Linked DNA regions of Oryctolagus cuniculus. The protein of the gene in region 2 interacts with the protein of the main gene of each other region in a pairwise test. Links are inferred from orthologs where the notes say so. Each region holds a gene or a part of one and is shown on either strand. Other genes may lie near its edges. The genes, in order: MACROH2A1 and ERICH2.

Region 1 (3,814 bases), on a different chromosome or scaffold from region 2:
CCGTGCACATGTGCTGCCTTTGGCATTCCGCCCTCTTAAAAGCTTTCGATTATTTTTAAAAACATTTTACTCCATGAAAAATGTAAATAAGTTCGTAATAACAGATGCTCTTTTATGGGAATTACTTTTATGCTTCAATTAAAAATGTCCCCATAACCATATGAAAGAGCGTGAAATTACTGCTTCCAATAAAGGCCCTAGTGCCTCTCTTCGGAAGCACCTTTCATCAGCGCAGATCAAAGTGCATCCGAAACACTAATTAACTGAGCCCTGGGCGCAGCCAGGCAGGCCCTGCTGCCTGGCTTGCTGATAAGGAAGTCCGGAGTCAGGGAGGCTGCTTCACTCCCCAGAAGTCACACAGCAGTGCAGTGCCCCAGCGCGGACGTGCTAGGGCGAGCGAGGAGAGAGGATTACGGCCTCTCGCAGTGATCCAGGAGCGCCCTGACTCTGCTGTGGGCCTGGGCCTGCAGCACCGAGGTCCAGACTGCCTGTCTCTGCCAGGTACTCTCAGAGCCTCTAGACGCGCGCTCTGTTAGCTGTTGCTTTCAATATGCACTGAAATGGTGCTGACTTTTAAAAATGATGTTCCACATATGCGCTTGGCAAGAGAGACTGGAACGAACAAGCATGTAGTAACTGAACATGTAGGTGCAGTACACACACACGTGCTGAGGAGCCGGCTTTGCAGGCACGGTGGCTGTGGGGTGCGGCCCAGGCCCCACATGGCTTTCCTTCGGGGAAGCCTGCTGCAGCCGCACAGAGCACACCCTTGAAGTGCAGCAGTGCCTGTGTGCATGTGAAATGACAGGAAGCACACCCAGAGCTAGTTCTGTCACTTGAGATGGGGACCTCAGTGATAGCAGTGTCTACGGAGGCAAATTCCGAGGCCCACTGAAGCCGGAAATGGCAGAATCAGCTCTTGGAAGGGAAGTGCAGACAGGGAATGCTGTAGTATCAGGTACGGTTCTGAGGACTGCTGCTCACAGGGACAGCAGGGCCAGGCCCCACACAGAACCCAGCCGGTGGCCCCTCCTAGGTACAACATGCTCATAGCTGGACGCTTTGCTCCCGCAGCCAACCCAGAGCCTGCAAGGGCCCTGCTGATGCTGGGAAATGAGACAATTTCAGATGCGGTGCTGCCTCTGTCCCCCGCCCACCGGGCCCTTGTCGCTACCTCCTGAGGGTGTCTGAATTTGCAGAGCACCCCAAGAGGTTGCATGGAGGTGCTTAGGATCACTCGGGTGGGGACTGTCCGGCCCTGCCAAGGTGGGACTTGAAATCCAAACCATCTCCAGCAGGCTAGTTTATAGGCTGACAATTCTGCATGGCCCATGAATGCTGGCACAAATACCCAAATGGCACAACAACATTGTGTTGTCTGGCACAACAACGGTTCCCACCACTGACACAGCGCGTTAGTGGCTGAGCCAGGACTCGCAGCAGGGCAGAAGGCTGTGCTGCTCCCACAGGCTGGCTGAGTCCCACCTGCGTCCTGCCTGTCTGCATTAGGACCCATTGTGGATGGGAGGCGAGGCTGGGCCCAGCCCTGATTCACTCTTAGCATTCCCTTCTTCAGGCTGAGGGACAAAGCCCTAACTGGCGACAACTGACCCTGGGAACCAGTCACCCTGCCCGTGCTTGCCACCCACTGGAATCTCAGTAACCCCTCTGTGGTGACATCTGCTGTCACTCTCTCCAGCTGGCCCCGCAGTTGCTAGATGTAGGCCCCCCAGGGTGTGCTTCTGTCTCCCCAATGAAGACAGAGCCCCCCGACTGGGGCCTATAGACTAGGGGCAGGGAACGCCGCAGCCAGGACCGGAAATTCAGTGCATCTGGGGCAGGCTCATTTTTGTACAACCTGCAAACAATGTCACAAATCCGTACATGGTCCTTGGCAGAAAAAGCATCCCCCACCCCTGCTGGACACAAAAATACACCGTGACCTGCATGGCAGCACTGGTGTGCCCTTACCTGCCACTGCCAATGGACGGAAATGCGATGGATTTCAGCTTCTTATCATCGGCCAGCGCCAAGCAGTTTTTCACTGTCTTTTCCAGGAGTTCCTCACACTTGTCCGCACCCCAGACTGGGCTGTTACAGTGGATCACAAACTTGGCAGGCAAGCCGTGGCCTGCACTGACGGCAGCTGGAGGGGACGAGACCAAGAGTGAGTTCAGCTGCTCCGCACACGCAGGCCCGCTCTGCTGCCACAGTAAATCCCCTTGGCCCTGTGTCCAAGGAGGAACACAGTCACCTGCTGAGACTGCCAGCAGGCGCTCAAACCACCGGTGATGCTCAGCACTTCACCCTTTCCCTCGGGGACAGCCAGCACCCTGGGAAAACTGGCATCAGGGAGGCACCGGCACGAGGAATTTTCCTAACTTGAGCAAACATGTTGGAACGTTTGCAGCCTCAAAACACCTGCCTCTTTCTGTCTCCTCCAGCCTTTCCTCCAGTGGATTCATGTGCAGATAATGCAACTCTTGCCAATACCATGCAGGACAAAGCAACCTGTGCACGCCAGCAGTTCCGCAGCCAGACTGGCACCTCTGCTGCTGGACAGCCTCACTCTAGGACAAACGCTGCTGACTATGGGCAGAGTTAGCTTGGTTTTCTCTAGGATGGATCCGGATCCCTGTCCCTCAGGTACACTGTGGCCAAGTCCTGCCTCGGATGACCGAGGCCACTCGACAGTGCAAGGCTGAAGTGCTGGCCTTCACAAACCCAACCCTGGGGTGTGTAACACGCTAACTCGTGTGCTGCTCAAGAATGAAAACCAACAGGTGAATGGTGGTCATCGTTGGGCAGTGGCATGGGAATATTCTTTATTCTCTTCTTAAAATTTCCAAAATTGACAACAACAAGGGCGCAGCATTGGGTGCAGCAGTCAACATGCCACCCAGGGTGCCTGCATTCCGTTTTGGAGTACCTGGATTTAAGTTGCTCTCCACCTGTAATCTCAGCTTCCTGCTAATGTACACCCTTGGAAGCAGTCTCAAATCCTTGGGCCCCTGCCACCCATGTGGGAGATCTGGATGGAGTTCCAGGCACCTGGCCTTAGTCTGATCTAGGCTTGTCTTGACTGTTGTGGGCATCTGGGGAGTGAACCAACTGATGGAAGACCTCTTTTTCAAATAAATAAAACCAAAAATGTTGAACATAAATACTTTGACTGACATGTAGTCTAATGGGTTAGCATCAGCTCGGTTTACAGGGGAGTTTCCCAGGCACCCTCCCAGGAGGACTGACACTGGAGCACTGACGGAAAGTAGCCTGTGGGCCACATGCAGGCAGGGGCAATAACGCTGTGTGTGCCCTGCCTCGCACAATGTGACCATGTAGGCCTCTGTGGAACTTCCCTGAAGAACAAATGGAAGGAAGGGGCAGAGCTGAGCAAAGGGAATGCCACTCTCCTTCTGTGAGGCCTTGAGACTGGCCGAGGATGAAGCCAGCAGTGACTGGGCAAAGAGGGGCATGGTCAGGTGAGCCCTGAGAGTGGGTTTGTGGGGGGTCACTGCGTAGTGACTGCCGAAGTCCACACTTAGTTAAGAAAGAAAGAGGATTTGACAGAATGGGCACTGGGGATCACACAGATGCAGAGAAAACCAGAACTCTATGGAAGGAAGGGGAAGGCCAGTGCTATCACACGCCCTGCTGGCCACCGGGATTGCAAAAGGCGGGCCTGCAGTCTGCCTGCAGGTCCTAGAGTCCCCCCAGTTCCCACTCAGCCTCTTCCCTCTGAGGAAGGGTGCAGCTGGCACAGGAGAACTATGCATTCACGAGCTTCCCACAACAAACACGGGCAGCAGACCAA
Region 2 (3,814 bases):
ACTTTAGTAACTACTTTTTTTTTTTTTTAAAGATTTATTTTATTTATTTGAAAGACAGAGTTACATAGCAAGGTAGAGCCAAGGGGTAGGGGTTGGTCTTCCATCTGCTGGTTCACTCCCCAGATGACCACAATGGCCAGAGCTGAGCTGATCCAAAGCCAGGAGCTTCTTCGGGTCTCCCTCACAGGTGCGGGGACTTGGGCCATCCTCTACTGTTTTCCCAGGCCATAGCAGAGAGCCGGATCAGAAGTGGAGCAGCCAGGACACAAACCAGCACCCATGTGGGATACCGGTGCTGTAAGCCATGGCTTTAACCTGCTGCACCACAGCGCCAGCCCTTTTAGTAAGTACTAAATTAAATACATTCCATTTCCAAAGGACATTATTATATAAAGCAAGATTTGAATTTTTCTTGGTTGTAACTGTATTTAACTTAAAGCTAATGAAAACAAATCTTTTAAAGTGGACTAGTGGGGCCGGTGCCGTGGCCCACTAGGCTAATCCTCTGCCTTGTGGCGCCGGCACACCGGGTTCTAGTCCTGGTCGGGGCGCTGGATTCTGTCCTGGTTGCCCCTCTTCCAGGCCAGCTCTCTGCTATGGCCTGGGAAGGCAGTGGAGGATGGCCCAAGTGCTTGGGCCCTGCACCCCATGGGAGACCAGGAGAAGCACCTGGCTCCTGTCTTTGGATCAGTGCGGTGCACCAGCTGCAGTGCGGCGGCCATTGGAGGGTGAACCAACGGCAAAGGAAGACCTTTCTCTCTGTCTCTCTCTCTCTCTTCTGTCCACTCTGCCTGTCAAAAAAAAAAAAAAAGTGGACTAGTTATGTTTTTCCTGAAAGGTTGGAGGCCTTACTGCCGTAAATCATATCACTTTCTCAAATGGAAATTATGAGATTTTAGTTGAAGAGAAAATTTAACTTGGAACCTCTGATCCTCTGAAACTTTATATAAGAATGACTACAAAAAAGAAGCAAATAGGAATGTTTTTTCCCTGCTAAATTCATGATTTGGAGCCTGGCACTGTGGCACAGCAGATTAAACCACAGCCTATAGTGCCGGCATCCCATGTGGGAGCTGGTTCTAGTCCTAGCTACTGGGCCTCCAATCCAGGTCCCTGCTAATGTGCCTGGGAAGGCAGCAGAGGATGACTCAAGTGATTGGGCCCCTGCCACTCATATGGGAGACCTGAATGAAGATCCTAGCTCCTGGCTTCAGCCCGACTCATCCCAGGCCAAAGCAGCCATTTGGGGAGTAAACCAGTGGATGGAAGATCTCTCTCTGTTTCTTTCTGTCTGTAAAATAATCTGCCTTTCAAATAAATAAATCTTTAATTTAAAAAAATTCCTGGGGCCAGTGCCGTGGCTCACTTGGCTAATCCTCCGCCTGCGGCTCTGGCATCCCATATGGGCGCTGGGTTCTAGTTGCTCCTCTTCCAGTCCAGCTCTCTGCTGTGGCCCGGGAGGGCAGTGGAGGATGGCCCAGGTGATTGGGTGCCTGCACCCATGTGGGAGACCACCTGGCTCCTGGCTTCAGATCAGCGCAGCACACTGGCCATGGCGGCCGTTTGCGGGGGAACCAACAGAAGGAAGACCTTTGTCTCTCTCACTGTCTAACTCTACCTGTCAAATAAGTTAAAAAAAAAAAATCCTAATTTGGTCAAGTGTTGTTTAGGTATTTTTCTTGCATGATCACTGCTTCCAAGTGGTAACGTTCCATTTATCCTCAGGCTGTTGAGTATTGTTGGATACCTCCATGTGTATTTCACTAAGATTATAAAAGGCATTTCCAAATACATACATACTCAGAACTGTACTTGCTAAATTCCCTTCCTTAAGGATATAAATATATAAGTTCCATATTTTATAGATTCTAAAGCACACTTTTTTCATACTTTAACATCTTACAATTGATGTGCTTTTATATTTGACAGTTTTTTCTTAGTGATACATAAATGGTATACCTTATAATGAATGGCTGTTATCTTAGATTCAATGAAATATTGTAATTCAGACTGGAATAGCATCAAAGCCCTTAATACCTACATTCAAAAGTAGACATTTAAATTCTGGTAGTCACTTGTATAGTGACCTTTTGCCTAACAGGAATCTCACATGCTGGACAGTGAATATTTCAGTAACTTCTCAGCTCCTCCTTTTCGTAACTTCTCAGCATCCTCTTGGATGCTTGCTTTCACAATGGGAAAAGCAGTAGGCAAAAGTAGAACAAATGTTGATCATTGCTGTGCATTTTTCATTTCCAGAGAGGGTTTCGCTTTAGTTGTGTTTACTGGGGATGCAAAGATTCCATTCCCTCCTGTAATGTTAAGAATTTCACAAGCTGGGCAACCTGTTTGCTACAGGGGACAAGCCCACTAGCTTAACTGACAGTGTTCTGGATTCACAATCCAGTGGGGAAAAAACAGAACCCCCATAACTCTGGGGGAAATACAGTACTCGATACCTTGTTACATCTTTCCATGCAAACTGGAGGTTGAATAAAAAAAGAAAAAAAAATTTGTGAAGGAAACATATTGGTAGAGTCTTAAGACCTCAAAAAAGAGACTTGGGGTTATTTTCCACAAGCATAGGTACCTGTCTTTGTAAACAGAATACCATACAAGTCTCAGTGCTTTGTTTCAGTCTTGAAAACTAAAAGAGAAAGTTAACCCAATTGAAGTTTAGCTCCTTAATACAAAAGGCTACTTTAGGGCCTAATATGTAGCAGTGTGTAGGCATCTCATAACAGAATACCAGTTCGAGTCCCAGTTGTTGCACTTCCAATCCAGCTCCCTACTAATGAGCCTGGGAAGGCAGCAGATGAAGTGCTGGGGCCCCTACCACACACATGGGAGACTTGGATGGATTCCTGGCTCCTGACTTCTGTGTGGCACAGTTGTAACCATTTGAGGAGTGAAGATCTGTGTGTATGGGTGTGTTTCTTCCTCTCTGCCACTCTGCATTTCCAAAACAAGGCTATATTATGATTAAGGGTTAACATTAATGTTGGACTCTCTCCATAAGTAAAGCAAATATTTAGCAATGACAGGAATCCATTCAAACCTAAAAAATCTCGACTAATTTCCTTAAATAGTTTTTTCATTGTATCACAATCATGTACTAAAGGTACTTATATAACTGATTGCTTATGTGCTCTATATTAAAGAACTCTGAAAAGACTCTAAGAATGATATACAACAAACGTCAAGTAGAAGTAGAATTTTAATCATCAGCACAAATTATTTGTAATGTTCTCCACAAAGAAGCTATGTTTTAGTCATTGTATTGTTGGCATATTAAATTGTGTGTTTGTATCAAAAATAGTGTATGTGTTTGTGAACCCATAGAAAGCATCAAACAATTTTAACCTAAGAAGGTATTTTTTCATTATATTCTTAATCCTTAGGAAAGAAGTCTCTTCCAAGATCACTGAAAATAAAGTTTCCTTAGAGCATTCTGGAAAAAGAGTATCTTCAAAGGGTATTAAAAATAAAGATACCGTAACAAGTCTTCAATCTGACCTATGGTCCTCTTCCTTCTTAAAAGAAAGCACAGGTAATAACATTTGTTTTATGAATTGAGTAACTGTGGCTTCTAATTCAGCCTCCTTTTCTGCAGCCTTTGGGAGCTGACAACTCGAAGTCTGGAGCAAGTCTTGGGAGTCAGTTTTTCAAATCGTGTACTGACTGGTGATTCTGATACAGTCAGGGGTAGGATCCTTGAGTATACATTACATAAGATGACAATGATAGGGCTTAAATCTTAGAATGAATTCACATACCCGTGAAAGCATTAACCAATTCCATTCATTTAACAAAT

The links.
Region 1: the proteins of ERICH2 (region 2) and MACROH2A1 interact in binary tests that used the Homo sapiens proteins (3 or more experiments, as listed by UniProt). The two-hybrid records come from large-scale screens. The link is inferred for Oryctolagus cuniculus from reciprocal best matches to the Homo sapiens genes ERICH2 and MACROH2A1.

The regions. Positions count from the first base shown.
Region 1 is NC_091437.1:23,470,449-23,474,262, forward strand, and holds part of MACROH2A1 (core histone macro-H2A.1), read right to left. Parts: intron 2,147-3,814; coding exon 1,972-2,146; intron 1-1,971. UniProt on the Homo sapiens protein: Variant histone H2A which replaces conventional H2A in a subset of nucleosomes where it represses transcription. Nucleosomes wrap and compact DNA into chromatin, limiting DNA accessibility to the cellular machineries which require DNA as a template.
Region 2 is NC_091434.1:70,336,539-70,340,352, reverse strand, and holds part of ERICH2 (glutamate-rich protein 2), read left to right. Parts: intron 1-3,401; coding exon 3,402-3,550; intron 3,551-3,814.